4 linked regions of the Lonchura striata genome follow. The protein of the gene in region 4 interacts with the protein of the main gene of each other region in a pairwise test. Links are inferred from orthologs where the notes say so. Each region holds a gene or a part of one and is shown on either strand. Other genes may lie near its edges.

Region 1 (7,453 bases), on a different chromosome or scaffold from region 4:
CCCTTGGGGCTGCCCTCACCTGGTGAATATTGCAGGTAGTGGCACATTTATCTGCAGAGTGAGTGACACCACTGTCACTCTAATGTCCTTAAACCCTCTTCTTCAATGAATATGTCACCCATGTGATGAGCCCTGGAAGAGAGGCTATGGAGTGTCCTTGCCTGGCCATGCTCAGTCTGTGGTGTGGTGAGTTCTGCCAAGGCTGTGTGCAGAGCTTCCTGTGGGCTTTGTTCCTTTTATTTGGGGCTAATTAACAAATTACAAGCACCCTCCCCACCTCTCTGAACCTGGTGAGATGAACTGAGTCATGAAAAGCAATATACTATTGGGTTTGGGTTATAACTATTTAAAAATCCATTTTTTTGCCTTTTTCAGAATGTTTTTCCAGGGTTGGCTTCCCCAAAAGTTGCAGAGTCACTAGTGAGAAGTTTGGCACTAACAGCTTCAGTGAACTGTGGAGAGCTGACATAAATATTAGGCCAACTCTGTATTCAGAAAGGAACAGATGAGGGTTTAAATTCACATCTCTGGGTTTTATTCTGCATTTTGGTGTACTAACTATGCCATGTAAACTCAGCCACAGAGCCTCTGCCCAAGCACCTGTAAGGGGGAGGATTTGCTATGAGACTGGGAATGCAGAGATTTGGACCTTTGTACCACTGCTGAATTCCCTCAGGGCTGCAGTGTGCAAGTCAGTACCTTGCTACACCACAGAGCTTTCTTGCCCACCAGCAAATGACATGAACATTTAAATGACTTGCAGCAAGCAGTTTGGGTTCACTCACCACTTCCAGGGCCTGTGGATGGAGAGATGCCAGCTACAGACTGTTTGCTGCAGGATTCCAGAGCAGGAATGCCGGGGAGTAAAATAAGATTATACCTCAGACTGGGTGGTTGCTGGGGAGTTAAAAAGGCACAAGTTGTCAAGAGACCTTTCCAGGATTCCCCCTCAGTCTGTGCAAGCTGGAAGACAGGGCTTAGTTTTCTTTTGGAAAGCAACAAACATCTGCCATCTAATTCTGGTTCAGAGCAACCAAAACCCAAAGCTGATGTTTGAAACAGGTAAGGCTGCAAGGATAGTGCTGAACTCACATCACAGGCCACAGAGGGACTAATTGTTCTGGGTTTCCTCAATTGCTCTGGAATGGCTGATGGCATGACTAGTCCCCTGCTTTGTCCCCCAGGCACAGGGGTACACAAAGGAAGGGATTCTTCTCTCTTCTCTGCCAGAACTGGTGCATCTTGATTATTTGCTAGTTCTTCAGGGTTGGATTGACCCTATTCACAACACCCTGACTTCCCATAGCCACCTACAGTGCAGCTCCATGAAGAGTTTCACTTCTTGGAGCAGATGCTTATCCTTAACACCAGATCCTCTGTCTGTACTGTGCTTCAAAAGATCACAGCCCAGCACTACTTAGCTACTGCAGGAGAAAGAAAAGTGCAATTTATTTTCAGCTAAAACTGAGCTGGTGATTTTTGCTGCAGCAAACAGAAGCTATTTCCCAAGTTGCTTGGTTTCTGCTGCATCCTACACAAATGTGATGGAAATTGCAAATAATCCTTGGCTCAGGGGTGGGGGAAAAAAATGAAAAGAAAGGAACGTGAGATCCAAGATCTTTAGCAAGCTGGTTTTAATGCAAGGCACCCAGGTAGCCCAGTCTGGTCTCTTTGGGCCTTTTTGTCACACTCAACCTTCCCACTCCAGAGCAGATAAAGGGAAAGAGGCAAGACAAAGACAAAGCACATGTGTGTGTTTTCCTAAAAATCAACTACACTGCCTGTGTGAGGCAAAATAAACATATGTGCACAGGGTAATAACAGTAGCATGGCCTCTGCAGGCAGAAATTTTTCTGAGCATTTCCCTGTTGTAGAGGTCGTGGAACACACTGAGGGCGCTCAGAAAGTTTCTTACTGATAAATAAAGCTTGAAGATTTTTAAGACAGACCTCCCCCTGAAAGCCTGGGATTTAGCAAACATGTAGGAGCTGTTCTCTGAGAGCTCCAGAGAACAAGGTATTTACTGGAGGTGGGCACATCTGTAATATATCATCCATTATATGCTGCACACTAATGATTGGTCAGGGTAAGAAGTCTAGAGCATCAGGAAATGTAATATTCCATCTATAAGTTAACAGCTCACCTACAAATTACATCAGATTCAACTCTGTCATCTTGCCATTGATGTGGAACACCCAGGAATTTCAGCCCAGTGTGGAAGGGAAGCGACAGACTGATGGGAACACGCTGAGCTTCAGCAACCTCTGGCCACTGAACACAGGAAAATGCCAACAAGTTGTAAGTGGAAAAGCTGGATCCCTTCACTTTGCTCTGTCCCCAAAGGGGTGCTGAAGGAGCAGAGCAGGGCAGCCTCCTTGCCAGGCAGGCTCTCCCTCTGCATGGTCAGGGCATCCTCCCCTCCCAGCTCTCAGCAGCTGAGATTAATCCTCTCCTTGGTTCCAAAACAAATTTATTTTGTCTTGGCCCAGGACTAAATCAGATCTTGCATGTACCTGTTCAGCTCCCATCACAGAGAGCTGTAACTAGTCGCATTCTGGGATTTTCTAGCAAAGATTAAAATTGAGAAATCTATCCAAAATTTAAATTACATCATCTCAGAGCATCTAGGGCCTCCTCTCAGGCATTGCTTGCCGTCTGGCACTAACCCAAATACCTGCAGGCTATAGCTTCTTCCTGGCTAGAGGTGTCAGATCATTTTGGGCTGAGGCTGTAGTGTGTAACATGAGACCAAAGAACAAAGCAGTGCAAAGCACACATAACCTAGGGTGGGAGTTGCTAGAGATATTCCGGAAATTATTCTCAAGATACATTTTGCTTATTAGCCTCATCATGTTCAGTTGCCAGCTGACAGGACATATGTCATTATACTTCATTATTCATTCCTAGTTACTATATTATAAAATATTTAAGAGCTTTACAGGACATTTTTAAGCACCCCTAATAATGTTAAGTTCCCTCAATTCCTCTCAATATTTGTATTGTGAGAACTCCTTTAACCCATCATTCTTAACTACCAGAAAAAAACACTGCAGTGAACTGGGATGGACAAGGCAATGAATGATTACCCCTCTTTCCATCTCTACACCACAGTAGACCCAATACCCAGCACTGAAAAGCTGGCTCTACTGCCAGATCTCAAGAGGGAAGTCACTGAGGCACTGCCAATTCTACAAGAGAAGCAGCATGTCTGTCACCAGACAGGTTCAGCAAGACAGACTGAACACCTCCAGAATCTGTCTCCAGCTTCTGACTTGGAAACATTGGACATAACATACCACATTTCCACAAGTCCCACATCACCAGTGGTGGGACATCACACATACGATAGTCACCACACAGACACATGCCATCTTTAGGAAAGTAATTTTGGGGTGAAAGTACTGAAGATCCTTCTCTGAGAATACATGAGCTGTTACTTTTGTTAGATTCCAGAGGCACAGTTGCATCTGCACCAGATGCGACTGTGGTTTGCACAGATTCCAGCCGCACAGTTGACATGACCGTAGGAACACGTGCAGGTGCTCTGGGTTTAGTTTCACACAGCACTCTGGGACTCAGCCTGACCCAACCCAGCACACATTGACTTCCACGTTATGCAACAGCATGACAAGCACGTGAAGCCGGCCCAACACCATCGGTGCCAACAGGCTGATGTCTTCCTCACTTATCTCTTTATTGTGTCCAGCCGGCACTCATCAAGAGCCTGATCAAGAAAATCTGGTGAGCAGGCAAGTAAGACTTAATCTCCGGTTAATTACAGATTAGCAGCTGTAGAGCTGTGTCCTGAGATAAGCCTGACCCGTAGCTCCCGCAGCCGCATGGCTTCTCCTCCTCGCCTCGGGCCTGGAGGGCATCGCGGCCAGCCCCGGTCCGGGGGCTCACACAAGGCAAAGGCTCGGAGAGAGCGAGAGGCCGCAGGGGCGGACAGGGCCGCGCCGGGGTCCCGGGCGCGCCGCGGGGAACAGGGGCAGCCGCAGCCCCGGGCGCACCGCGGGGAGCAGCCCCGGGGTCCCGGGCGCACCGCGGGGAGCAGCCCCGGGTCCCGGGCGCACCGCGGGGCGCACCGCGGGGAGCAGCGCCGGGGCAGCCCCGGTGTCGCCCCCTCAGCCCCGGTCCCGCCCTGCGCGCGGGGCGGAGCCGAGCGCAGCGGCCCCGCGCGCTCCCTTTGTTCGGGCCGCGGGAGGCGCTGCCCCTTTAAATGCCCCCAGTCCGGCCCTACCGGCGCGCCGGGTGGAAGGCGCCCCGCGATTGGTTACGGCGCCTCCCTCTCATTGGCCGCCCGGAGGAATGGCGCGTCCCGCCTCTCGCATCTCATTGGCTCTGCCGGCTGCCCGTCCGCAGCGCGGGTTTCTGAGTGGGCGAAGCAGCGGTCCCTGGAAACAGTTCCGGGAAACCCCGCGTGCTGCCGGGGTCGCGCCGCCGTCCATGAGGAGAAGGAGGAGCGCGCGCCATTTGCCGTCGCTGCTTGGGCCCGAGCTGCGCCGCGCCGGCCCCGCTCCGGTGAGTGCCGGGGCCGCCCCGCGGGGCAGGGGCGCTCCGCGGCCGCGCCGAGCGCTCCTGCGTGGGCCCCGCGAGGGGACGGGCGGCGCGGGTTGCGGGCAGGCCCGGCGCGGGCGGGGACGGGCCCGGGGAGCTGGCGCGGCGGAGCGAAGGGGGGCGGGGGCCATGGCGGGGCTGCTCCACGGGCAAAGCGGGCGGGCGCGGGCGCGGGAGCGGCGCCGGGGAGGGGCCGGGGGCGGGCCCGGCGGGTGGGGGTGGGGGGCGGCCGGCCCGCTCCGCCCAGCCGTGCGGATCAGGGTTGCATGTGACGGGCGGCCGGGACGCGCCTCTCCCGGGGCTGTGGGTCGGGTCGGGTCCCTGCTCGGTCCCTCCGGGCTCTTAAAGCCGCAGCAGCCCCGGCTGTTGCGGTTGTGCGCGGTCCGCTCTGTCCGCGGGCGCAGAGGAACGCTCTCAGCAGCGAACGCGTCGCTGTCGCAGCGCGCCCTTAGATCTTGGGTAGCGCATGATGTGCTGGAGCCGGCAGGGACAGCTGCGCCCACCCGCAGCGCTCGGCTCTGCGCTTCCTACTTCCACGGAGGGAATAACGCTTGTCAAGTGCTTAAAGGGGAAACTAGCCAAAGTTTTGTTGTTCAGACGTTGTTTTTCTTGAATTAACTTTTGTCGAAAGCCTTTACTAAATCTTGAAAAGTTTTGTTTAAATGCATCATTGTTGCAAATACTTTAAAAATAAGACTTTATTTACTCGGTCTGAACAGCCTTGTTACCTGTCAGTATTTGAACATGCTACTTAAGTACATAAGCTGTGCTGGACTACTCTTTTTGAAACAGTGTGTTGGCTTCCCTTTCCCATGTTTATGGCTCTGAAGGATCTCACCGGCACTTCGTGCTGCAAAGGACATTAATGCTCATGAAGCTGGTGCTTCGGTTTTTTGATTGGTTGGGTTTTTTCACTTTGAGACTACACTTTAGCATAGTTTTTTGTTTTTTACTTGTAAAAGTAATCTAATGAATTTTGCATCTCACAGTGTTAGGTGTTTTTGTAACCTGTGTAAAATGTAGTGTTTGCAAACGAGCAGTGTCTGCTTGAAAATTTTGCTTCCTTGAAATTGTGTTTCCCACAAGCATTGCATGTCCTTATTTCTCAGTTTTTCTAAGTGAACACTGTTGAAATAATACTCGAGTCGCCTGCTGGCACTTAAGTTCCTGGTTGAGTCAAAAATCCCAGTATTCCCTGCTTTGTTAGACATCTGCAAAATTCTTTAAGGATAAATTCTTTAGAACAAAGCTCATTTCTTTTGAAGTGTTGCTTGGAACTGGAGTACTGAGAGTGTTGTTTAGTACAACTCGGACAACCAGATGAGCTATGAATAGCCAACTCCAGTGAGAAATGAGCATGGGCAGACGGTTTAGATTAGCAAAACAGAGGAGCTATTGGTGCAGTCAGTGTTTTTTAATGGCACTGATGGGCGCGTTGCTAACTTGCTGTGCTAAAGTCATCTCCCAGTCATAGTTGTGTGGGTACTGGAAGCAGAGTTTGTTTCTCTCTGGGCTGTGCTGGTCCCTTGCTTGGCATTGTACTGGAGGTTGTCAGATTTTTCCAAGGGGCTGTGGAGTGAGCAAGGCTGAGCTGGAGAGGTGAGGGTGCCAGCTGCATTTTGGCTTACAGGTAGTGAGAAATCCTGGCTATTCTGTGAAGGTCTTCAGGCTGTGTTTACTTCAAAATAAGGTTTCATGTAATTCATGCCAAAAAACACCTAGCATATCATAATTAAGTTATTAAAAATGTGCTTTCTGTGTTTGAATAAGATATGGTATAAAAGAAATGGCTAAAATGCCTTTATGTACAAAATAAAGGGCCCACCCTTTTGTACATGCCTTTGTGTACAGAAATATTTCTGAACAAGTGAGGTTTTAATAAAACCCCAGTTCAGATTTTAAATGTGAATTCTTATTTTCCCCCCACTTGTATATTTATCTTCCTTGCTTGACAAGAACCTTCTTGATGTGTGAGGCATAACTATAGGGACTGCATTTGTTCCCTTGTGGTCAATTAAAACAACAAAACCAAACAAATGTTCCTCAAACTTCCTTCAGTGTTATTTTTAACATGATTTAACTTAACTGCTTAACACAGATAGTGTATTGATTCGGAGTAGCAACATAAGTGAGTGGAATGACTTTGGTGCAGAGTTTTTATGGATGCATTGGTTGGCTTCCTGTGCACCTGAGCTAAGCAAGTCCCATTCCTGCATGAAACTAAGCTTTCAGCAGCAAAACCAGTATTGATGTGTAATCACTGAAGTTTGTTGTGGTCATTTTAGATATTGTCCTCTTGCCAGAAATTTTCTGTTCCTTCTCAATTAAGCTGCTCCTAAGCATGTTTTGAGTTAACTAGACTGAATTTATAATTAATTGGATGGAGTTATACTTAGATAGTCTGTAGGTGGCAACCTCTGTTAGAGGCATGGTATAAGATAAAGGAAATAGTAACATCATGGCTGTTTATCCAGTGATTGTCAGATTAAGGCTGTGATCAGGTATCTCTTTTCAAGATGCCATAAACCTTGAGGACCACACCTCTGTTAATTTTTTTGTTTTCCAGAAAAATAACTAATTGAGCCATATAAGTTATGAAACACTGGAATCGCCTGTAGTTTTAACTTCCTACTTGTCATATGAGAGCTTAAAAAGGGGGCTAGTAATTTTGTAAATTACTCTCAAGATGCAGGAATTTTGGATGAAAGATAGTGAACAGCTAAAACCATGCTTTTTATCATGAAGTATTTACAGTTTTCAGCAAAGCATTGTTTGCAACAGCAGTGTGAAACTTGAAACAAGACCTCTCCCGGTGTGCAGTTAGGAGGTGTGAGGGTAGGCAACATCTTGGGCAGGAGTGAGAAATCTCCTTGCCTATGTAAAATTGTCCCCAATG
Region 2 (7,159 bases), on a different chromosome or scaffold from region 4:
CCATGCCCAGACCCCCAGCCCCTCCGTCCCCGGGTTATCATCCTCATGGAAAGGGTGGACAGGCACTGGAACTGACCAGGGCAGTGGTGGAATCACAATCCCTGGAAGTATTAAAAAAAAAATGTGGATGTGGCATTTTGGGATATGGTTTAGTGGTCAGCTTAACAGTGCTGGTTTAACCTAACACCTTAGAGTGTGTGTGTGAATAGGAATTTTTCTAAGTGAGCCATGACTCTTCTCATTACACTTTCCCTGCTCTTTTTTCCACATCAGCAACTTTCTAATAGCAACAGGGAAGAAAAGAAGAGCTCCATAAAACAGTATTAAACAAGGAGGCTCGTTGGTAATTAGAGTGGGAATGGAGATAAAGAACACTGGGTAAAGCCTGCTGCAATGCCTCTTTGGGACATTTCAAACAGTTTTTTTAAATAACATTTCTGCCTTTCTGGAGCTAAGTACACACATGCCACACACTGAGCAGAAGGCTAAATTAATTGGGAGAACAAAGGTAATTTGTTGTGGATTGGAATGAGGCATGGATGCTTTTTCCCTAGTGGGAGAGGAACTGGTGACCTCTCCTGGGTTTGCCATGGGCAAAAGATGGGATGCAGGAGCTTCATGTGCATCTCCACCCTCCCTGTGCCAGCCTGGGTGCCACTGAGGGTGAATTCACTGGTGGAGAATCCCTCTGTCTTCCCTTCCAGTCCCTCTCCATTCTTCCACCATCTGGCAGTAGATTATTTCCATCAGAGCTGCCAAATCCAGCGTGTCAATATTGCAGATGAATGATTGCAGAGGGCTTTTCCAACCTTAAGGTCTCTGTGACACCAGGGTGGCTGCAGGGGGGCAGCTGTGGAAGTCAGAGCTGTGGGCTCCCCATGCTCATGGAAAGGCTGGCTTGGGCTTGTTGCTCATGTTCACTTCACAGCTCTGCTGCACCCTGCCTCATGGTTCCTGTGCTTTTACTCCTGCCTCTGGATTAGGAAGGGTGACATTACTCCCCTGGCAGCAGTCTTGGTGCCTTCATATTTTTTTGTGTTTAATCGAGATCAGAAGTTATCAGCAATTATATTTGAGGATGCCCTGGGGTTTTCTGCAAATTCTTCTGTATTTCATTGCATTCCTTAGATGCTTGGACACTCTGAGATATCCCCACTCTGGGTTTTGCTCTGCAGTCCCTGCAGGGACACAGGACAGAGGTGGGTGGCTGAAGAGGGAGATGAGCAGCCCCAGCAGGGTGTAATCTGCAGGGCCATTCTGCACAGGGCCAGTGATAACAATTGAGCAAGAGAAGGCGATGCTGAGGGGAGAGAGTTGTCCTGGGGTGATTAAAGACCAGTCGTGTTATCACAGCAGAGCACTCCTTGTACACCAGCACTGGGCTGTCATGTTAAAATTTCAGTGTGCCAGCTTCAAAATATAATTTTACTTACTTAAATAATGAATTATAGCCCTATCTGTCATTTCCAGCTCCTGCACATTTAGTTGTAGTTAGCCTTGTCATTTAAAGCAATGATTGCAAGTTCTTCAAGCGCTGGTAGGAAATTAAAGAGTAAAGCCAGGATTTAGACTCCACTTTCCAGACTTTCAAAATGCAATATGCCTCAAATATTTCAGAGTTAGAGCAGATATATGTCCTCCCTTATTCACAGCATTCTCCTTGAGGGGAAGGCAATTCCTGTGGATAATACAGGCCCATGGGGAAAGTTGTCCTTGATCTCACAGTGATGCCATTCAATTGGATTTACAATGAGGGCTGTTGGAAATGAGAATCCCACTTTTACAATTAGCTAACAGGTCTGTTGCTTGCTTCTGCTTTAAAATGAGAAACTCTGGTAGCTGGCTTTTGGAACAGATTTTAGATTTAAAAATACCTACATCCATTAAAAAAAAAAAAATCCCCTTTGGTGATTCTCTGACAGATTCATGACATGCCCAAGGGTGGACATTCTGCAGTGGAGCTGTGGATCTTCATGAGAAGCAGCAGTAAGGGAGGAAGACAGGGTTGGGGGGCTTCTCAGAGGACATCTTCTCTACTGGTCCTGTGACACAGAAGCAGCAGCAATCAGGCTGTCCAGTTCTTTGCATTCCTGAGGCCAGGACCCCCTTGTCTCACTACCCCATGGGTAGCTGCAACACTGTAATGAGGAATTTGGCTGAAAGGTTCATGCAAAGCCGAGCCATTTTCCATGTCATGTTGTGCTGAGGATCAGACTTCTCCCACCGGATTTGTTCCTGAGGAGTTTCCACAACAATCCCCAGCACAGCTCTGATCCTGAGTGAGCAATGAGCTCCTTCTAACAAGCTACTGTCCCCTTTTGGCTGCTCTGGTTTTTGAGATAGTGCAGGAGTAACTCTCAGAAAAGGGTTTCAAATTCCATAATGATTTCAGTGATGATGAATCCTCCTGTGCAGACATCACTCTGTGCACTCACAAACCTTAATCCTGCCCAGGTTACACAGGAGAGGAAGGAGTCCTGATGGTCTGTGCCTTATCCCTGTGTTTATCTGGGTCACAGCTTGGTGGAGTAACCCCTGATTAAAAGCACTCTCACTGAGGAGAGCTTGGAGCACTGCCATGCAACACGACATGTAAGAGGCAGTACTTTGGGGAGGAGACAAAAACATTATGTAAATGGATATTTCACAACAGCATCTATATTTTGGAAGTAAATTTTCTATGGGAAAACTGCAAGTTTTGGAAATGTGTGTAGCAAGGGATGATGAATACCACCTTTCTTGGTACTGCCACCCATTTAAGTTGTATAAATTGAATACCATGTTGTCTGTGCCCTGGCTCTGCCTGTGTTGTCAGTGGTACTTTGAAATGGAGACTGCACTGCTCTGCATCAGTGTAGCCAGAGTGAGCTCTGGGTTTTCAGGGGATATGTATGGCAGTATCAAAGGGAAGGTATACAAATAGCCCTCTGATAATATTCCCTGTGGTAAAACAATTGTCCTCCTTGTGTCTCAGGTGAGTCTACTTTCATATCCCCTCTTAAAGTGAGTGAATTACCCAGCCACCCAGCCCTTGGTCAGAAGGACTGAGGAGGAGCTGTGGCACTGAACACAATCTGAAATTAAATCCCAGAGGAGTTGTTGGCCTCCACAGAGGGGATGATAATTCAAGATCCTCAAACCCAGCCAGGCCTGCATACTCAGAGGCCCAAGTGCTTTGTGCCTGCCTTTTGGGAAAGCCCAAGGTTTATTCTAGTTTGTGTGACAGATGGCATGCAGAGAAGCTTAAATTAGAGCCCAGTGCAGAGTATAAGGGGTGGCTCAGAGTCCTTCTGCAAGTGCAGGGCTGCTTGGGCAGAGAATGTTATCTGACCCCTCTGACTGTACCAGCCAGGGCTCTGTGCAAGCTGCCAGCTCTCAGTGGTGATGGCTGAGGCTGCTGAAGTTTATCAGTGTGGCAAAGAGATTTACCTCTGCTTTATCTGCTGGCAGGATAGTTACTCCCAGAGGTTCTGCAGCAACCATCTCCAGTAGGGTATTTCTTTGACACTTTGCCCATTTACCTGTGATTACAGACCTGTGCTGGTCTCCATTTTGCTTGTTTGGTCCTTCACCCACCCAGGGCCCATACGCTGATGGTACCAGCCATCTGCTGTAGGACCAGGAGCTCTTGTGCATGTTCAGCACAGCACAACACAGCCAGCACTAACAGGAGTGCTGAGAGCTATTTTACAGTGCAGGGAACAACTAACAGTAAGATCACACAGTTAGAAATCAAAGATGTGCAGTCTGAGGATTATAAATAAAGAAATCTGACTGGGGTTTCTCTCACACACACATTTTTCTAGTACCATACTCAATTTCACAAACTCTGTATTCCTGTATCCAAAGTAATCCTTACTACCAGTGCTGTCATAGGCAGCAATTGTGAGTCCCTAATTCTTTGCAAGAAGCTGGCAAAGTGAAGTCCTGAAGCAAATGGCAGAATCTGCACTTACTCTTCAAAAATCAGAATTTCATTTCTCCTCTGAACTGCACTACAGATCTCCCAGCCCGTCCCTACCACTACCTACAAACCATTTTATGTGAAATATTGCACATGGTGCAGCCACATATACTGGAAGTGGCTGGGTCAGAAAGGCTCAGAGTCTTGTGTTCACATCTGTGAACCAAGGGAGGAAATGCAGATTCCTCTCCAGGCTCCTTAGCACGCTGCAGCCCACACGCTCCTCAGCTTAGACATGTGTCCTAATGCTTCACCACTGGACTTTTGCAGCATTATCTCTCTGTTCATGTATCAATACGTGTCCAGACAATTTCTTTGGACCACACAGCTGTTAGGTTAAGAAGCAAGAAGCTGATAAGGCCAGCAGGCAAGGAGGACAGTGTGCTGACCCTTGCCAGTGTAGCCATTGCTCCTCAGGAGATAAGTGTCCCCACTCCTCAGCGGGCCTCTGGAGTGACCAATGAGTGTGGACAGGCACCAAGCTCTGCTCCCCCCTTCCCCTTTATAACCAGGGCTGCCAGGTGGTGAGTCCAAACCTGCTCTGAGCTGCCACTGCAAGGGGACAGAGCCAGCACCTCCTGCACGATGACGCTGACCCAAGCCGAGAAAGCCGCCGTGGTCACCGTCTGGGCCAAGGTGGCCACCCAGGCTGATGCCATCGGGGCAGAATCACTGGAGAGGTAAGGCCCCAGCAGGCCTCCAAAGAGGGCTTTGCTTTTGGGATGCCTCTCATGTAGAACTTGGGTGAGTGAGAGCAGGCTGGGACCAGGGAGACTTGATGAAGAGTTGTGCTGTTTGATATGTAATCTCCAGGAGTTATAGCTGTGCTACTAAATGCTTCACAATCTGGCAGTAAAGCATGCTTTTTTAAACTATTTAATAGGGTTGGTTTTTTTTCTTATAGCCATACAGAAGAATTCATAGCCAGAAGCACTGGTGAGGAATACAAAGTCATTCATACTCAGTGTCCTGAACACCATTATCCCTGTTAGGGAATAAACTTTAAGTGGTTTATGGTACAAGTGATGCACTTTCTCTTGCAGTTTTTATGCATTTAGAGAATAGCTGTCCACTAAATTCACTGGATGCTCAGGTTTCATTGTTCCAGTTGTTAAGTAACAAACTGTTAGGAAACAAGACAGCTGGACCCCCTGCATGAAGCATGGCACAGTAATTCAAAGTCCATACCAATTAAACAAGCTGGTATAAAAGGTTCTGGAAATTATCAGAAATTCTTATGTTATTCAAACTGACTTAAATGCTATTTACAGCTCAATATATAGTATTATGATCCTCCTTTCAGGATTCTGAGTACCATTAATATCAATTCTGGTTTGTTAATTTTTGTTTGAAGGTTGAGGAAACTTGGTTATAATATAATACAGGAAATTTGGTGACAAGATGGGGCTTTTATTTAGTAAAAACAAAACCAAACAAAAGCAAACCCAAGGCTACACTAAGTTTTAAATAATTTTTAACACTTAATTCTTCTCTAGTACATACAGATAAACCTGCTGTCTAATCTGCATGTGCTGCAGAAGGTTTACACTGCACTTGTTCTGAGGTTTTACCACCTCATACCATTTCTAATGCTGACCCTCTTCATCATGTCCTCCTCCAGGCTTTTCTTGAGCTACCCCCAGACAAAAACCTACTTCCCTCACTTCGACCTGAGCCAAGGCTCAGCTCAGCTCCGTGGCCATGGCTCCAAGGTCATGAGTGCCATTGGGGAAGCTGTGAAGAACATTGATGACATCCGAAGGGCTTTGGCCAAGCTCAGCGAGCTGCATGCTTACATCCTCAGGGTGGACCCCGTGAACTTCAAGGTGAGTGAGCACAGAGACTTTCAGGGGTGGAAAGTGCCATCACAAAATTAGAGACCATAGGTCTCTAATGGCACCTTGATCCCTGACTGTGCTGCACAGTCGGTTTCTCATATGATTTTCAACCTGACATTGGGTCTTTTAATGGAAGTTCTGGCCCAATGCATGCAAAGAACTCCTGTGGTTTGTGTTCGACAGACTCAAATCTCTACTGGTTTTGCTGTAATTCAAAATTAATCTGCCTCATACATCAAGCTGTATCACCTGTCTGGAACAAAGTTTTAATAAATTATAAACAGTCCCACTTTGTTGCACTTGAGGAAGGGGCACATACAAGAGGGAGTGGGATCAAGCAGTGCCTTTGGCCCTAAACAAAAGACAACTGCACTTCTTCACTCCCATCTCAGGCAGCAGCACCGCCTGGTTGGGACATGTGCTTGTCATCCCTGAGCACACTGGGCCCAAGGTTCACTGCAGACCCTTACACTGATACCTGGTACTCACTGGGATGGATTTCCTGCTGCTTTCCCTTACAGCTGCTTTCCCACTGTATCCTGTGCTCCGTGGCTGCCCACTATCCCCGTGACTTCACCCCAGAAGTTCATGCGGCGTGGGACAAGTTCCTGTCCAGTGTTTCCTCTGTTCTGACGGAGAAGTACAGATAAATGACCTCAACAGAGGGTGAGGGAGGTCCATCCACAGCCCAGCCCTGCTGCCAGGCTCTGGGACATCACCCCTCCCTGGGCAGCTCTTTAAATCCCTGCTGCAGGGCCTTGGTCATCTGCAAAACCCAATAAATAATTCAAATGTGAGCCATGGTCTCTGTGCTTTCCTCTCTATGTGTTCTGCCCACACCTGATTGTTCAGGCAGGGGTGTTCTGAAATGTCTACACAATATGGAGGGCGTTTATAAAAAGTTAAAGTTTATAAACTTTATAAACTCATGTACTAATTCATATACCAATGAACTCATACTAATTCATGTGCCAATTCAGCGGGGATAACATAACATTCAGTGAGAGCAACACAGCATTGAGCAGAAGCCCAAAATGGGCTGGAGCCCTGTGACTGCAGCTGCTCACCAAGGTATATCCACCACAGTCTGTCTCCAGGCTGACCAGGGAAGAATCTTTCACCTGCTAGGACATTGAATGGACCCAGGCTTTTTGCCTGACCTATCCAAAACCCATCCCAGCCTACTGGGAACAAAACCTGCATTGCAATGCAGGGCATTGTCCTCTCATGCCTCTCTCCATGGGGTATGGATGTGGCATCTGATGTGTTTCTTCTGTGAGTTAACCCCACTGTGCAGCCACTGTGCCCCAACTCCCACTCACCTTCCCCCTGCAATGGGATGAGGTGAAGGGCAAAG
Region 3 (7,284 bases), on a different chromosome or scaffold from region 4:
CCCAAAACACCCCAAAAACAGCCCCAAAAGTATCCCCAAAGCACCCCAAAAATAGCCCGAAAACACCCCAAATAGCCCCAAAAATATCCCCAAAAGAATCCCCAAAGCACCCCAAAAACAGCCCCAAAAATATCCCCAAAATATCCCCAAAACAGCCCCAAAACACCCCAAACAGCCCCAAAAACAGCCCCAAAAGTATCCCCAAAGCACCCCAAAAACAGCCCCAGAACACCCCAAAAACAGCCCCAAAAGTATCCCCAAAGCACCCCAAAACAGCCCCAAAACACCCCAAACAGCCCCAAAAACATCCCCAAAAATATCCCCGAAGGACCCCAAAAATAACCCAAAAACACCCCAAAAATATCCCCAAAGGACCCCAAACAGCCCCAAAAATATCCCCAAAAATATCCCCAAAAACAGCCCCAAAAATATCCCCAGAACAACCTAAAACAGCCCAAAAATATCCCCAAAAATATCCCCAAAAATATCCCCAAAAATATCCCCAAAAATATCCCCAAAACCAGCCCAAAAACAGCCCCAAAAGTATCCCCAGAACACCCTAAAACAGCCCAAAAATATCTCCAGAATGTCCCAAAAACTGCCCCAAAACATCCCAAAAAAAACCCCTAAAAAACTCCCAAAGGAAACCCCAGAAATCCCCAAAATATCCCCAAAAATTCCGGGTGGTTTTGGGGTATTTCAGGGCAATTTTTGGATACTTTGGGATTTATCGGGGTATTTTTGAGGTATTTTAGTTCATTTTTGGGAATATTTTGGGGACATTTCTGGATATTTTTGGGATATTTCGGGGTATTTTTTTGGGATATTTTAGGGTACGTTTGGGATATTTTTGGGATATTTTGGAGCACATTTAGGATATTTTTGGGATATTTTTGGGATATTTTGGGATATTTTAAGGATATTTTGGGGGATATTTTTGGGATATTTTGGGGCACATCTGGGATATTTTTGGGATATGTTTGGAATATTATAAGGATATTTGGAGGGATATTCTTGGGATATTTTGGGATATTTTAAGGATATTTGGGGGGATATTTTTGGGATATTTTGGGGCACATCTGGGATGTTTTAGGATATTTTGGGATATTTTTCAGATATTTTTGGGGTGATTTTGGTGTATTTTTGGTTCTCACCCTCGGGGATGAGCCCAGGGGATATTTTGGGATGCATTTGGGATATTTTGGAATATTTTGGGATACATTGGGCCATGTTTGGGATATTTTGGGATATTTTAGAATAGATTTGGGAGATTTTGGGATATTTTGGGATAAATTTGGGATATTTTAAGGTACATTTGGGATATTCCAGAGTACATTTGGGATATTTTAGGGTACATTTGGGATATTTTGGGATAAATTTGGGATATTTTAAGGTACATTTGGGATATTCCAGAGTACATTTGGGATATTTTGGGGCACATTTAGAATATTTTGGGGCACTTTTGGGATATTTTTGGAATATTTTGGGATACATTGGGCCATATTTGGGATATTTTGGGGTATTTTAGAATAGATTTGGGAGATTTTGGGATATTTTGGGATAGATTTGGGAGATTTTGGGATATTTTAAGGTACATTTGGGATATTCCAGAGTACATTTGGGATATTTTGGGGCACATTTAGGATATTTTGGGGCACTTTTGGGATATTTTTGGAATATTTTGGGATACATTGGGCCATGTTTGGGATATTTTGGGATATTTTAGGATAGATTTGGGAGACTTTGGGATATTTCGGGGTACCTTTGGGATATTTTGGGTATATTTGGGATATTTCGGGGTACATTTGGGATATTTTAGAATATTTTGGGATATGTTCGGGATATTTTAAGGATATTTTGGGATATGTTTGGGATATTTTAAGGATATTTTGGGTACATTTGGGATACTTTGGGGCACGTTTGGGATATTTTGGGGTACATTTGGGATACTTTGGGTACATTTGGGATATTTTGGGTACATTTGGGGTATTTTGGGATATTTTGGGTACATTTGGGATACTTTGGGTACATTTGGAATATTTTGGGTACATTTGGGATATTTTGGGGCACGTTTGGGATATTTTGGGTACATTTGGGATATTTTGGGGTACATTTCGGATACTTTGGGAATGTTTTCAGGATATTATGGGATGGCTCACCCTCGGAGATGGGCCCGAAGGAGCTGAAGTGCTGCTCCAGGCCCTGCTCGTCCGTGTCGTAGTTGAGGCCCCCCACGAACAACTTCCCCTCCTCCGCCGCCATGCGTGGGGGGGCGGGGCTGGCCGTGACGTCATAGGGCGGGGCCCGGCCCCCTGCGGTGACGCAATGACCTGCCCGCGGCGCGGCCGTGACGTCACCACCCCGCCCGGTGACGTCACGCCCCCCGTGACATCACCCACGCGCCCTCCAGTGACGTCACACCCCCCAATCTTGGGAGACCCCAACCCCGTGACGTCACCAGCTGCCCGCTGACGTCACGCGGCGCCCACCCGTGACGTCACGGCTCACGTGGTTCCCTTTTCCCCCCCCTCCCCCAGCCCGGCCACGTGCGCGCGCCCCCGGCAGCGCCGCTCCCGCCGCCCCCGCGCGCATGCGCAGAACCCCGCGCGGGCCTGAGGGCGGCGAGGCGGGAAAAGGAGAAGGGGAAGGGGAGGGGAGGGGGAGGGGAGGAGAGCGGGGGAGAGCCCCGGGGGCAGCAGCGAGCGCCGCCCTCATGGCGACAGGAGCCGCGAGAGCGGCGCGGGGAGTCGCGACAGGAGCGGCCGAGCCTCACCCGAGCCTCACCCGAGCCTCACCCGAGCCTCCCCCGAGCCTCACCCGAGCCTCACCCGAGCCTCACCCGACCCTCACCCGAGCCTCCCCCGAGCCTCCCCCGAGCCTCCCCCGAGCCTCCCCCGAGCCTCACCCGAGCCTCCCCCGAGCCTCCCCCGAGCCTCACCCGAGCCTCCCCCGAGCGGCGCCGGACGGGCCCGGACTGAGGCCGAGCGCGCCCCGCCCCGCCGCTTTTAACCGGCTCCGCCCCCCACGTGACCGCCCGCGCCGCCACGCCATTGGCTGCCCGCTCGGGCCGCGCCCCCTGTGGCGCGTGGAAGAGACCATTGAGGCGGGGGAGGGGGGGGGGAACGCGCGCGGGGGGTCCCGGGATAGTTGGGGGTTTTCGGGGGAGGGGTCCCGGGGATGTCCAGGGATATTCTGGGGTCCCGGGAGGGTCCCGGGACAGTTTTGGGGTCCCGGGACAGTTTTGGGGTCCCGGGGAGGGTCCCGGGGATATTTTGGGGTCCCGGGCCAGTTTTGGGGTCCCGGGGATATTTTGGGGTCCCGGGGAGGGTCCCGGGCCAGTTTTGGGGTGCCGGTGCCGCGGGGCTCGCACTCGCTCACGTCCCCGGGGGAGCCTTTAATGGTTCGGTCCCGTTACAGCCGAAACGCCGCGGCCCCGCCCCTTTCCCATGACGTCACAAGAGGGGGCGTGGCTTACAACGCCCGCGCCCCGAGGTGGGCGTGGCCAGAGAGACCACGCCCCCCGAAGAGAAGCCACGCCCCCACTGAGCGAGGCCACGCCCCCTCGGGCGGGGGAGGGGCGGCCCTGAGTGAGGGGGGGAGGGGGAGGAACCTCGGAGTAAAAGCAGAGTAAGGGGGGCGTGACCCCGGAGTAAAACCCCGCCCGGAGGAGCCAGAGCGGGGAGAGGCGTCCATCGGGGGCGGGCTGGGAGTAACCCCCGAGTAAACCGTGAGGAACCCCAGAGTAAACCGTGAGGAACCCCCGAGTAAACTGTGAGGAGCCGCAGAGTAAACTGTGAGAAACCCCCAAGCAAACCGTGAGGAACCCCCGAGTAAACTGTGAGGAGCCGCAAAGTAAACCGTGAGGAACCCCCGAGTAAACTGTGAGGTACCACCAAGTAAACCGTGAGGAACCCCCGAGCAAACCGTGAGGAACCGCAGAGCAAACTGTGAGGAACCGCAGAGTAAACTGTGAGGAACCCCAGAGTAAACTGTGAGGAAACACCGAGTAAACCATGAGGAACCCCCGAGCAAACCGTGAGGAACCGCAGAGCAAACTGTGAGGAACCGCAGAGTAGAACACCCACTTGGAGTAAAACGTGAGTAACTCTGGAGTGAAACCACCCTGGAGCAGAGCGTGAGTAACTCTGGAGCAGCGTCCGCCCCGCCGTGGGGCCGGGTGGTGTCGGAGTAAGTCATGAGTAACCTCAGAGTGCCGCGCCGAGCCCGGAGTCCGCAGTGAGTAACTCCTGAGTACGGAGCGCTCCCCTCCCGGCCGTGACCCCGAGCAGGGCCTGAGGAACCTCTGAGTAGCGGCGGCGCAGCGACCCTTGAGTAACGCCAAGATCCTGGGCAGGGCTGAGTAACCTCGGAGTAGGAGCCGAGTGTGAGGGCGAGTATCGGCGGAGTATCCGTGGAGCATCCTCGGAGGAGAACAGAGAGCGGAGGCCGAGTAACGCGGGAGCAGCGACTGAGCAGCCTCTGAGTAGCACGAGGAGGGGCTGAGTAGCGGCTGAGTAAAGCTGGAGCAGCGAAGGCGGCGGAGGCCCCACCCACGGGGCGTGGGGCCCGGGAAGGCCGGAGCAACCTCGGAGTAAGCGTCGAGCAGGGTAAGGCCACCACGGGGCGAGCGCGAGGAACCTGCGAGTACGGCCGGAGCAACCTGCGAGTACGGCCGGAGCAACCTGCAAGTACGGCGGGGCAGGCCGAGAGCGGTGGGACACCGGAGGAGAGCCGGGGCTGAGTAAGCTCTGAGTAAACTCCAAGTCAAGGCTGAGTAAACTCCAAGTCAAGGCTGAGTAAGCTCTGAGTAAGCTCCGAGCAGGGGCGTAGTAAGCGCCGAGCAAAGGCCAGGAGGATCGAAGCACCTGGAGGTGGGTGTGAGTAAGGAGTGAGTAGAGCCGGAGGAAGGGGGAGTGAGCACGGCTGGAGTACGGAGCCGCCGAAGCCCGGAGTACGTCTGGAGTAAGCTGTGAGCAGGGACTGAGGAGCTGCGGAGCCCGCGCTGACTGTGAGTAACCCCGGAGTAAAGCCCGGGCAGGAAGCGAGTCCTGAGCAGCCTCGGTGTAAAAGCTGAGGAGGCTCCGAGGAAGAACCGGGAGTAAGTCGGGAGTAGCCGAGAGCGAGGAGAGGCCGAGCAGCCGCGGAGTAAGGCTGGAGTAGGGCAGGGCTGGGCCGGAGCCGCCTCGGAGGAAAGTCGGAGTAACCCCGGAGTAAACCGGGCCCGGCCTGGCCGAGGAAGCTCCCGGGAGACGCCGCAGCCCCGAGCACGGCGGGAGTAAAGCAGGAGTAACCTCCGAGTAAGCTCCCCTCGCCCACCCCCCCAATATAGACTCTGCTTTACAATATTGCCTTGAAAAAATAAAACTCGACGTAAACCCGGAGGGGGGGGAACCCCCCAAAAAAATGGGGGGGGACCCCAAAAATGGGGAGACCCCAAAAATGGGGAGACCCCAAAATGGGGAGACCCCAATAATGGGGAGACCCAAAAATGGGGAAACCCCAAAAATGGGGAGACCCAAAATGGGGAAACCCCAAAAATGGGGAGACCCCAAAAATGGGGAGACCCCAAAATGGGGAAACCCCAAAAATGGGGAGACCCCAAAATGGGGAAACCCCAGAAATGGGGAGACCCCAAAAATGGGGGGACCCCAAAATGGGAGGGGACCCCAAAAATGGGGAGACCCCAAAATGGGGAGACCCCAACCCCCCCCAGAACGGGGGTCCCGCGTGAACCCCCCAAAATCCAGCAGCAATTCCTCAGGGGGGGATTTTTTGGGGGGGGGGTCACCAGTCCAAGGACCCCCCCCACACACCTCCCCTCCCCCCCCGCAGTTTTTGGGGTGTCCCCAAAGGTTCGGAGGATTTTGGGGTGACCCCAGGCCGGATTTTGGGGTCCTGGGGTGCAGCTGCGATCCCGGGGCTGTGGGGAGAGGAAAGAGTTAAAAGGGGACCCCAAAATGATCAAATCCCCCAACTCCACCCCAAAATTTATCCCTCCCTTTTTTTGGGGTCCCTCCCATGAATTTTGGGGGGGTCCGAACCCCGAATTTCAGGGGGGGGTTCCCCGGGTTTGGGGGATCCCAATTCCAGGGGGTTCTCCCGGGTTTTTATCCTTTTAATTTTGGGATTTTTGGGGCGTCAGCTCATTTTTGGGGTTTTGGGGGTCATCCTCCCAATTTTGGGGGGCTAATCACGAATTTTAGGGGGAGGTGATCCCGGATTTTGGGAGTTGATCCCAAATTTTGGGGGCTGATCCCAAATTTTGGGGGGGGGCCTCACCTGCTCAACGTCAGAACTCGGTGTCGAGCACCCGGAAGGCGGAAGAACCTGCAGGGAAAAAAGGGGTCAGGAAACCCTCCAAAAAAACCCCAAAAAAACCACAAAATCACCTCAAAAAACCCCAAAACCACCCCAAAAAAAACCCAAAATCACACAGAAAAATCACCAAAACCACCTCAAAAAAACCCCAAAATCACACTGAAAAATCACCAAAACCACCTCAAAAAAACCCAAAAATCGCCCCAGAAAAAAACAGAAAAATCACCCAAAAGAACCACACCAAAACCACCTCCAAAATAGCCCAAAAGCACCTCAAAAAAACCCCAAAATCACCCCCAAAAAAACCCCAAAATCACCCAAAAAAACTCCCCCAAAAACCCCCAAAATCACCCAGAAAAATCCCCCAGAATCACCCCAAAAAACCCCCCAAATCACCCAGAAAAATCACCAAATCCACATCCAAAAAAACCCCAAAAAACCCAAAATCACCCCCAAAAGACCCTAAAATCACCACACTAAAAAACCTCAGGGTTCAACATATGGATTTGGGTTTTATGGGTTTTTTTGGGATTCAGGGGTTTTTGGGGTTCAGAGGATTTTGGGATTTGGGATTTTGGGGCTCAGGGATCTTGGGGCTCAGGATTTTTGGGGCTCAGAGATTTTAGGGTTCGGATTTTGGGGTTTGCATTCTGAGGCTCAGGGATTTTGGGGCTCAGGATTTTTGAGGTTCAGGGGTTTTTGGGGTTTGGATTTTGGGATTTGGGATTTCGGGGCTCAGGGTTTTTGGGGTTCAGATTTTGGGATTTCGGGGCTCAGGGATTTTGGGGTTCAGATTTTGGGATTTGGGATTTCGGGGCTCAGGGATTTTGGGGTTCAGATTTTGGGATTTGGGATTTCCGGGCTCAGGGATTTTGGGGCTCAGGATTTTTGGGGCTCAGGGATTTTTGAGGTTCAGAGATTTTTGAAGTTCAGATTTTGGGGTTCGGGTTTTGGGGTTTGGATTTT
Region 4 (7,855 bases):
CATTACTGAATGGATTATAGTCTCAGAATAAGTATGTTCAATGCATTTTGCAAAAGTTTGAAAAAACTTAGGGTGAGGCAAATATCATTAGCCACTCACAAGTCCTCCTAGTAGATGACTTACCAATGACTTTTCCATTTCCAATAGTGCAACAGTCATGTAGGATCTACTTCTACATGAAACGGGCTATGACCCATGGGAAATAAGTATCTTCTGATTAAGGCACTCAATTGGCCATTCAGTGTTAGAATCCACAACAGATTCCCTCAGGGATTTTTAAAGAAATCAGGTTTTGTCTCCACACTTTGTATTTAAATAGCACTAGTACCTTCTACCTTCATTAGGACCTTACCTTTCTTTCTGTTGTTTGGCATGTATGTAAATAGTCTGCCAAAGGAAATGTCCCTTTTCTGGGGATTATACCAGACCCAGGCAAGGACTAAAATAAGTGATTTCTAGTCATCACTTAATGGTGAGGGATAAATAGCTACTGATTGAAGTATGCATCTGAAACAGGTCAACCTGAAGGACACAGACCCACATATTGAAAACATAAGAAATATGTTGGTGTAAATATTGGTTAAGTACACCAAAACACACAAACAAAGAAAGACCACGCAACAGATTCAAACAAACAAAAGAAATTATTGGGGGAAAATGGGTAGTCTTATCTTTACAAGTAAATCCACTCTTGCAAATGAGAAGCATTTTTCTGGAATACTTATTGCTTGTGTGCCCTTCTGCGGTTTCTCACAGGAACACAACTGTTCTCAACCTTGGGTTTTAGCAGCCAATATGAAACAACACAGCACTTTCAAGTCAGACTGAATGCTTGAGGCTCTGAGCTCCAAAGCAAATCTACACTTATGTATTTGATACAAAGTGTGCTGGCAATCAAAAATGCTTAGGACACCATAAAAAGAACACCTGGCTGGTATCGTTAGGGATGTAGCTGATTGCACGTTACATTCTAAAGAACAGAAATCCAGAGTCTGGAAAAAATATTTCATCGTTAATATAACCTAGAAATTACTCACTACTACAGAGATCCTTGCACCAGGATCCCATTTTCTTCTGGCACTCAAAAAAGAAAATTCTGCCCTTTCTATTTATGCCCAGCAGCAACCAGTGCATTAATTTTAATTTTCTTAAGTAGTAACATTCTTACTATGGTTAAGTGTTTTAACAGTCGTCATATGTTCGACTCTAAAACAAATGTCTAGAAAGCTTGACAGATGGTGTTTTGAAGGATAATGCCAGGTACCTGGTGTGAATCTGACATTAGCATTCTCTCAGACAACTCACCTTCATCTTTTAAAAAATCCAGTGAAATAATGCATAGTCCTACTTAGGCCAAGAAGGAATGAGAAAATCGTTCATTTATTCAATCTCACAGTTGCTCAAAATGCAACTTCTACATGAACTTGATACCTAGAAAAAACAATTTTCCTTTTACTTTTATTTGCCTACTTTCGGTTTTGTCCTTCCTGCATTTTCCTCCTTTCCCAGACACTCACACACACACTCTCAGAGGATACTTCCCCCCTCTGGGAAAAGACCGAACTGCAAGGTTCAAAAAATACATTCCTCTAAGAAATAAGGACTTAGTTTATGGTATGATTATAAGAAAAACAACTATAAAAAGTAGCATGGCTGCCTCTTTAGCAGCAAGACAGCTATGACAAAACGGTACTAAATGGGTCTGTATTCATACTGAAATTCAGTATGAATTTTAAAGCTATCAAACAGAAGCACTCCAACAAAACCTGGACTCAGTATCTTCATTCACAATCAATAAAACATACATTAAGGAAAGACAATATAAAAACTGCTGACAGAGGAAAAACACTTACTGCTTAGCATGGTAAATCTGAATTAGTTATGATTTTCTTTAGGTCATAAACAGAACTTGGGAAATTATTTGCCACCTCTGAGTTTATTTGAATGTGTGACTCTCAGGGGCCTGACCATATATTTCTTTGCTTTAATCTCTTTTAAAAACTTAATAGGTTGTCTTGATTTATGCATCATTCTTTACTACTTCTTTTCAACATTAGGTTCCAAGTTTAACAGGGATTTTATAAAGACTATTAAATATCTAAGAAGAAAAACATGTATAAGAGGAACTTAAAGGATTACACTTTTGGCAAAAGTTAAAATTCCATACCACGAGGTCTTCACGCAACCGCTATACTGAGCAATTATTACAAGAGAGACTAAATGATAAACTTTTTAAAGAACCTTTAGGCGAGGTCCAACTAAAACTCTACTCCAACTAAAGCAAGGAAAGGAGGGCGAGCTACAATGAGTATCCAAATGTTATAACCAGTGTATTCTGATCTCCGCACAAAACCAAGAGGAAATCATCATGTCCTGGATGAAACTGTCATGAAATTGATAAGCCATATCAAATCAATGTCTGACATCGCGCAGTCGACTAAAAACAGCGCCGCATTAACGGCATGATAGTATCACCATATAAACCTTATTACTTCAGCGTGGAAAACAGGATATAACGAATGCAATGAGACGCCAGCATCTGTCTTTGTGTAAGTGAGCCCGGGAACCAGGGGAGCGCCTCCCGCACAGGCGACCCAGCCGCGGCAGCGCCGGCGCACGGCGGGGAGCGAGCGCGGGCGGCGGGGAGCGAGCGCGGGCGGCGGGCAGCGGGGCGCTCGCTGCGGCCGCCGGCGGCTGCTGCCGGACGGGTCCCTCGGCAAGGCTCCGGGGCGGCCCCGGGCGCCCGAGCCCCGAACCGCCGCCGCCCCGACCCCACGCGCGACCGGGTCCCGCCGCGGGCCGCTCCGCCGCCCACCGGCCCGGACACCCGAGTTCGCTCCCTGTCAGTCGGCCGGGGCCGCCAAGCCCACCCCGAGGAGCGCCCCGGCCGGGGGAGCGCGGCGCGGAGCCTCACCGTCTTCCAGGAGGCGCATCGCGTGAACAAAGCAGGGATCCAGGCTGTCCTTCTCGGCCATCAGCTCGGGCAGGTACTTGTCCTGCTCCATCGCCGCGGGCACGCCGGGCGGGCTGCGCGGGATGCCGGGCTCGCCGCTCCGCGCCCTCGGCCGCCCGCTCGCCGCTGGCCGCGCCGGGGCCGCCCCGCGGGTGCCGCCGCCCCTCGCGCGGCGGGCGCTGCCCCGGCCCCGCCTCCGCCTTCCCCTCGCGCCGCGCGGGGGCGGGCACGTGCGCGGGTCGCCGCGCGCCGCTGCTCGCGCGCCTTCGCCCCCCCGCCTCCTCCTCCCGCCACTGAGCGACCCGCGGCCACCCGCGGCCTTAAGTAGGGAGGCGGAGCCAGCCGGGCCCCGCCCCCGCCGCTCCCATTGGCGGCTCCGCCGCGCCGGGGGCAGACTCGCCGTGCCATTGGCTGTCGCCAGGCGGGGCCCGCGGCCGGCGGGCGTCCGCGGAGGTGTGTGCGCCTGCGTGTGTCTGTGTCTGTGTTGTGGTTTAGGACTGGTATTACCTAATTTACCGCTTCCACTAAAACCACGCTGCAGCTCGCTCTCCCCACCCTTTCCCCATTCCCCGTGGCAGGCTAGAGAGGAGGATTGGAGGAATTGAAGGTAAAGATCACGGGTTGGAATAAGAACAATTTACTGGAAACAGCAATGAGATAAGAAAATGAGCAGTAACAGCAATTATATTAAAAACAAAAGTGTTCGAGAGAGATAAGTGATTCTCATGCAAAATGATTAGAATCGAGGTTACCTCGCCGCACCCACCCCGCGCTTACTGAACCAGAAGGAACCCCTTTTTTAAGGAAGAGACTTCTTTCCCCCCTAAGTCCAGCACCGGCAATGACCTGAGGTGATAGCGGAACAGCCTCTGGGTCCTGGCCATGTCCCCTCCCGGCTACGGCCAAAATTAACTCTGTCCAGGCAGGAACCAGGACAGTCTGTGCGTCTGTCACTGTGTGTGTGCTGTGTCTGTCTGTGTGTCTGTCTGCGTGCAGCTGTGTGTGCCAGTTTCTGCGTGCCAGCGCGAGTGCGTGTCCGTGAGTGGCGTCCGTGGTGCCGGTGCGCGCACGCGTGACCGTGTGCGGCTGTGCCGGTGCTGCGCCTGTGGGAGAGCGGGCACGTGTCCGTGTTTGTGTGTGAAACTGTGTGTGTTTGTGTGAAACTCCGTGTGTGCGTGAAACTGTGTGTGTGTGTGGGCGTGCACTTGTGTGAAGCTGTGCGCGCGTGTATGAAACCGTGTGTGCGTGCGTGAAATTGCGTGTGTGTGTGTGTGTGTGAAACTGTGCGCGCCTGTGTGAGACTGTGTGTGAGAGAGAGCGGGCTGCGCGGGAGAGGCCGTGCTGCGGTGCTTTCTGTGAGCCTGGCGGTGGTGTCTGTGCCCCTGTGCTCGTTTGTCCACGCGTGTCTCAGCGTGCCTGTGCCGCCGGTGTCGCTGCGTGGGCCGCCCTGCCCGTGCACGCCGGTGATGTGCTGGCAGTGGCCGTGTCCCTGCGCGGGGCCGCGGCTCCGTGCCCGCCGTGAGCCGCCCGCCCGCCCGCCGGGCGCTGTCCGCGGTGCTGGAGCCGGGAGGCAGCGGCTCTGCCCGGCTCTCTCTCCCTTCCCTCCCCGGCGGTGCCTCCCCCGAGCTCCGCCGCGCTCCCCGGGCTTCTCGGCCCTCCGCGGTCCGGGGACACGCCTCGCTAAAGCGGTGCCGCATCGGCGGCGTGGCCGTGCTGGAGCTGCCAGGCAGCTTCTCCCCTGAGGGTATGATGAGCATCAGCGGCCGGGCGCCGCCGCTCACAGACCGCGCCGAAAATGTCTGCCCGTGCCTGCTGTGCGCAGCTGGAGAGGCGCAGCCGGGGCCCGGGGGTCCTGTGGAAAGGGCGATCTCTGTCGAGGAATGCCGTGCTGCAGCTCCCACGGCCACGCCTGACAGAATTAGAACTATTATGCAATTAAAGTGTCTACAGCTTGGGTAAATAAAATTTATTTTAATTAGGGTTTAGCTTTAAGTATACATTTACTTTAGGTTATATTTATTCAGGATTTTGCCCCAACAGACCATACAGGAATGTGTTTTGATTTCGAAAGTAAACAAATATGTCTAAGTCATCTCAACTCATTAAAATTCCATTTGTGGGACCTCAAGAACAAGCAGTCTATGGCACCATACAACATTTTGTGCTCAACCCCTATGTCACATTCTTAGTATGTACCACTAATACTACTATCTTAGTATTTATTCTAATGAAATAGACAGTTGTTGCAATAATACATTTGTGAATGGCCTAGTACTGTTCAAGTATTTTTGTTGCTGTAGAGGAATTTAGATTTTGGGGTCTTTTTCTTTGTGGTTTTGTTTTGGTTGGGGGGAGTTGGCAGAGGAAGAAGGAATGAAAAAGATAAAAATCAAAGTAAAATCTTTATAATGGCATCCACAAGGTTTTGAATGTGTTGTACAGACATTATATAAAGATTTGATGTGCGATGTTTTCAAAATTCTAAGATATGTGCAGGCAACGTTTACGCAATTTCCACTCGGCATGCAAATAATTGAGGGACAGCACGTGTTTACAAAAATATGTAGAGAATGTCGGTGACCGATGCCTTATTATTCTGTAGTATTTCTAGAAGGGAGGAATAAAATACCTGAGAACAAATCTCCTTGCTGAGAAAGAATAGGAGCAGGAAAATAGTTGGTTTCAGCAAACTTATAAAACACTGAGGAAGCAGAGAAGACTGATAGCAGAATTGAAAGGTTTAATAGTCAATCAGCTTTTACTACAAATTTTGTGTGGGGATAAAGGGAAGACATAAGTCCTTCTTTAAAAAACAAACAAATAAAACAAAGAAAAGCGCAGAACTCAGATAGTTTATTAATAATTTACCCTGATTCAATTTACTGCATGAATAGTTCTCCTTTCCCATTTAACAGCGTAGGAAGAAATAGTGGTGTTTGCAACACAGCTCAGGTCTGTCTTGCTCAAAAGCTTGCCTGTGTCATCAGATTGTATTTCTGCACTTCTGTTTTCCAGAACAATTCAGGCAGGTGCTCCACAGTTCAGAAAGACAGCAGGCCAATGATAGGTGTGTTCTCCTAAAGCAACTTCAAGTTGAATGTAAGCCATCCCCCCAGAAGTAATCCTGGTCTGGTAGCTTTCAAGACATACCATATGGGCATGTATACGGAAAATGAATTTTGGGTGTTTTCCATCTGGGGTGTTATAGGAATAATGCTACTTTAGTCTGTTTAATTGTACTTAACCTACTTAGATCACAGGAAGCTTTGACTTACACACCTTTAAATTTTTTAAACAATAGGAAGTGCTAAATTCATTAAACTCTTTTTTTTCTGGTCAAAGAGGTAGACAGCAGGTTTCATTACACATATTTTTACAGCAAACTAGACAGAAACAAGTTCTGTGTAAGTTCATTTGTGAAAACTTATAAAGTTAAATTGACTTTCAGTGATACTTAGGCTGCAAAGCCACTGAGATACCTTTCTGAATTTCACCTTATACCTCATTAAAAATAAAAAAAGGCATTAAAATCTGTCAGACAGGAAATATAGACTTCTAATGACATCAAACATGACTTCATTGCTAGTTGGAGATCAATTTTTTTCACAGCGCTACTAAAAACCAAAGACACATTTTACAACTCTTTAGTTTGAAGTGTCAAGACAAATTGAAGTTTATCTGTACTATATTTTTTAATGCTAAGTCTGATAATGAAATGGATCGCAGCATAACAGATTGCAGTTTATTCAAAGACAGAACAGGTAAAAATCAGTATGTATTCTTGCCAGTGCCATCCAAATACATTGTATTATCATGTAGAACTGAAGTCAAAAGGCAGTGGATCCAAGCAATTGAAGAAAAACCCCAAACCTTGCATTTGCTTATTCAAAAATTATTAAATCTTTTAAGAATTTGCAGTAGAATGAATGGTCAGTGTGAGCTCAATTAGAATGAGCTGCCCTTCTGACACCTCGCAATAAAGTTGATACAATAATTTAAATGAATAGTTAACTATGTGTGTGGGAGTAGACAGAGGACCACATACATCAAAAAAATCAGAATAGTCAAGAGTTTTGTATTTCAGAAATTCAATTTGCTTTGAAATTTCTTTACTGGTTCATTTGCTTTAGCTATGAGTAAGGGTTATCTGGTTCCTGAACCAAATGCTGATGAGCATTAAAAAAGAAAAAAAATAGGGACTTTCTTCTATAATCTAAGTAACCATCTCCGTCTCTGAAAGTAGAATTATAATAGACAATATATCTAACAAAGAGGCAGCAGTGCATGTGCAAAAAAAGAAGGAATTGCCCCCACATTCTTTACTATAGTTTATTTAATTCCTTCTTTGAATACAGTCTATACCCAGGCTCCATCTGATCTCTTCATGCTGTCTTATGGATACCAGTTCTTGTACCTGGTGATTTCATGGTTTGATCATGGGACAACTGAACATGCACAAAAGTTGTTTCCTTGTAACAGCACTCAGATGATGTACTGAGTGCTGATGCACTGGCTTTGGGCAATGGTGGGTCCAGGTGGAAGTGGCTACACCTTCTCCTTGTAGAGGCCAGCCTTGTAGACTACCACACGGCCAACAGCTTGCTGGATAATCCAGAAGGCAAATGTGCATCAGCAGATCATTTTCAGACTATCCCAGGCACAGCAGAAGACTCAGCCATATATGGTCCAACACAGACATAGTTGATATCTGCGGTAAGTCACTGATTTCCACAGGGTTTTGGTCTCTTCACTCGTACAGCTTCTTAAATTGACACATTCTTTACAGATTAGTTATTAGTCTATAAAAATCAAATAAATCAGCTTCCCTTAAAAAAATATATCATTACTTACTTATTTCCTTTCAAGACATTAAATAGTTTCATAAACTCAGTGAACCTAAAA

What was found.
Region 1: the proteins of KHDRBS2 (region 4) and HNRNPR interact in binary tests that used the Homo sapiens proteins (3 or more experiments, as listed by UniProt). The link is inferred for Lonchura striata from reciprocal best matches to the Homo sapiens genes KHDRBS2 and HNRNPR.
Region 2: the proteins of KHDRBS2 (region 4) and hemoglobin subunit pi interact in binary tests that used the Homo sapiens proteins (3 or more experiments, as listed by UniProt). The two-hybrid records come from large-scale screens. The link is inferred for Lonchura striata from reciprocal best matches to the Homo sapiens genes KHDRBS2 and HBZ.
Region 3: the proteins of KHDRBS2 (region 4) and RNA-binding protein 3-like interact in binary tests that used the Homo sapiens proteins (3 or more experiments, as listed by UniProt). The link is inferred for Lonchura striata from reciprocal best matches to the Homo sapiens genes KHDRBS2 and RBM3.

Annotation. Positions count from the first base shown.
Region 1 is NC_134628.1:5,309,154-5,316,606, reverse strand, and holds the start of HNRNPR (heterogeneous nuclear ribonucleoprotein R), read left to right. Parts: upstream 1-4,377; 5' UTR 4,378-4,446; coding exon 4,447-4,521; intron 4,522-7,453. UniProt on the Homo sapiens protein: Component of ribonucleosomes, which are complexes of at least 20 other different heterogeneous nuclear ribonucleoproteins (hnRNP). hnRNP play an important role in processing of precursor mRNA in the nucleus.
Region 2 is NC_134618.1:4,397,648-4,404,806, reverse strand, and holds hemoglobin subunit pi, read left to right. Parts: upstream 1-4,549; coding exon 4,550-4,644; intron 4,645-5,585; coding exon 5,586-5,790; intron 5,791-6,323; coding exon 6,324-6,452; 3' UTR 6,453-6,592; downstream 6,593-7,159. UniProt on the Homo sapiens protein: The zeta chain is an alpha-type chain of mammalian embryonic hemoglobin.
Region 3 is NC_134638.1:985,598-992,881, reverse strand, and holds the start of RNA-binding protein 3-like, read right to left. Parts: upstream 3,006-7,284; 5' UTR 2,939-3,005; intron 2,331-2,938; 5' UTR 2,263-2,330; coding exon 2,160-2,262; intron 1-2,159. UniProt on the Homo sapiens protein: Cold-inducible mRNA binding protein that enhances global protein synthesis at both physiological and mild hypothermic temperatures. Reduces the relative abundance of microRNAs, when overexpressed.
Region 4 is NC_134605.1:88,486,080-88,493,934, reverse strand, and holds the start of KHDRBS2 (KH domain-containing, RNA-binding, signal transduction-associated protein 2), read right to left. Parts: upstream 3,075-7,855; 5' UTR 3,006-3,074; coding exon 2,915-3,005; intron 1-2,914. UniProt on the Homo sapiens protein: RNA-binding protein that plays a role in the regulation of alternative splicing and influences mRNA splice site selection and exon inclusion. Binds both poly(A) and poly(U) homopolymers. Phosphorylation by PTK6 inhibits its RNA-binding ability.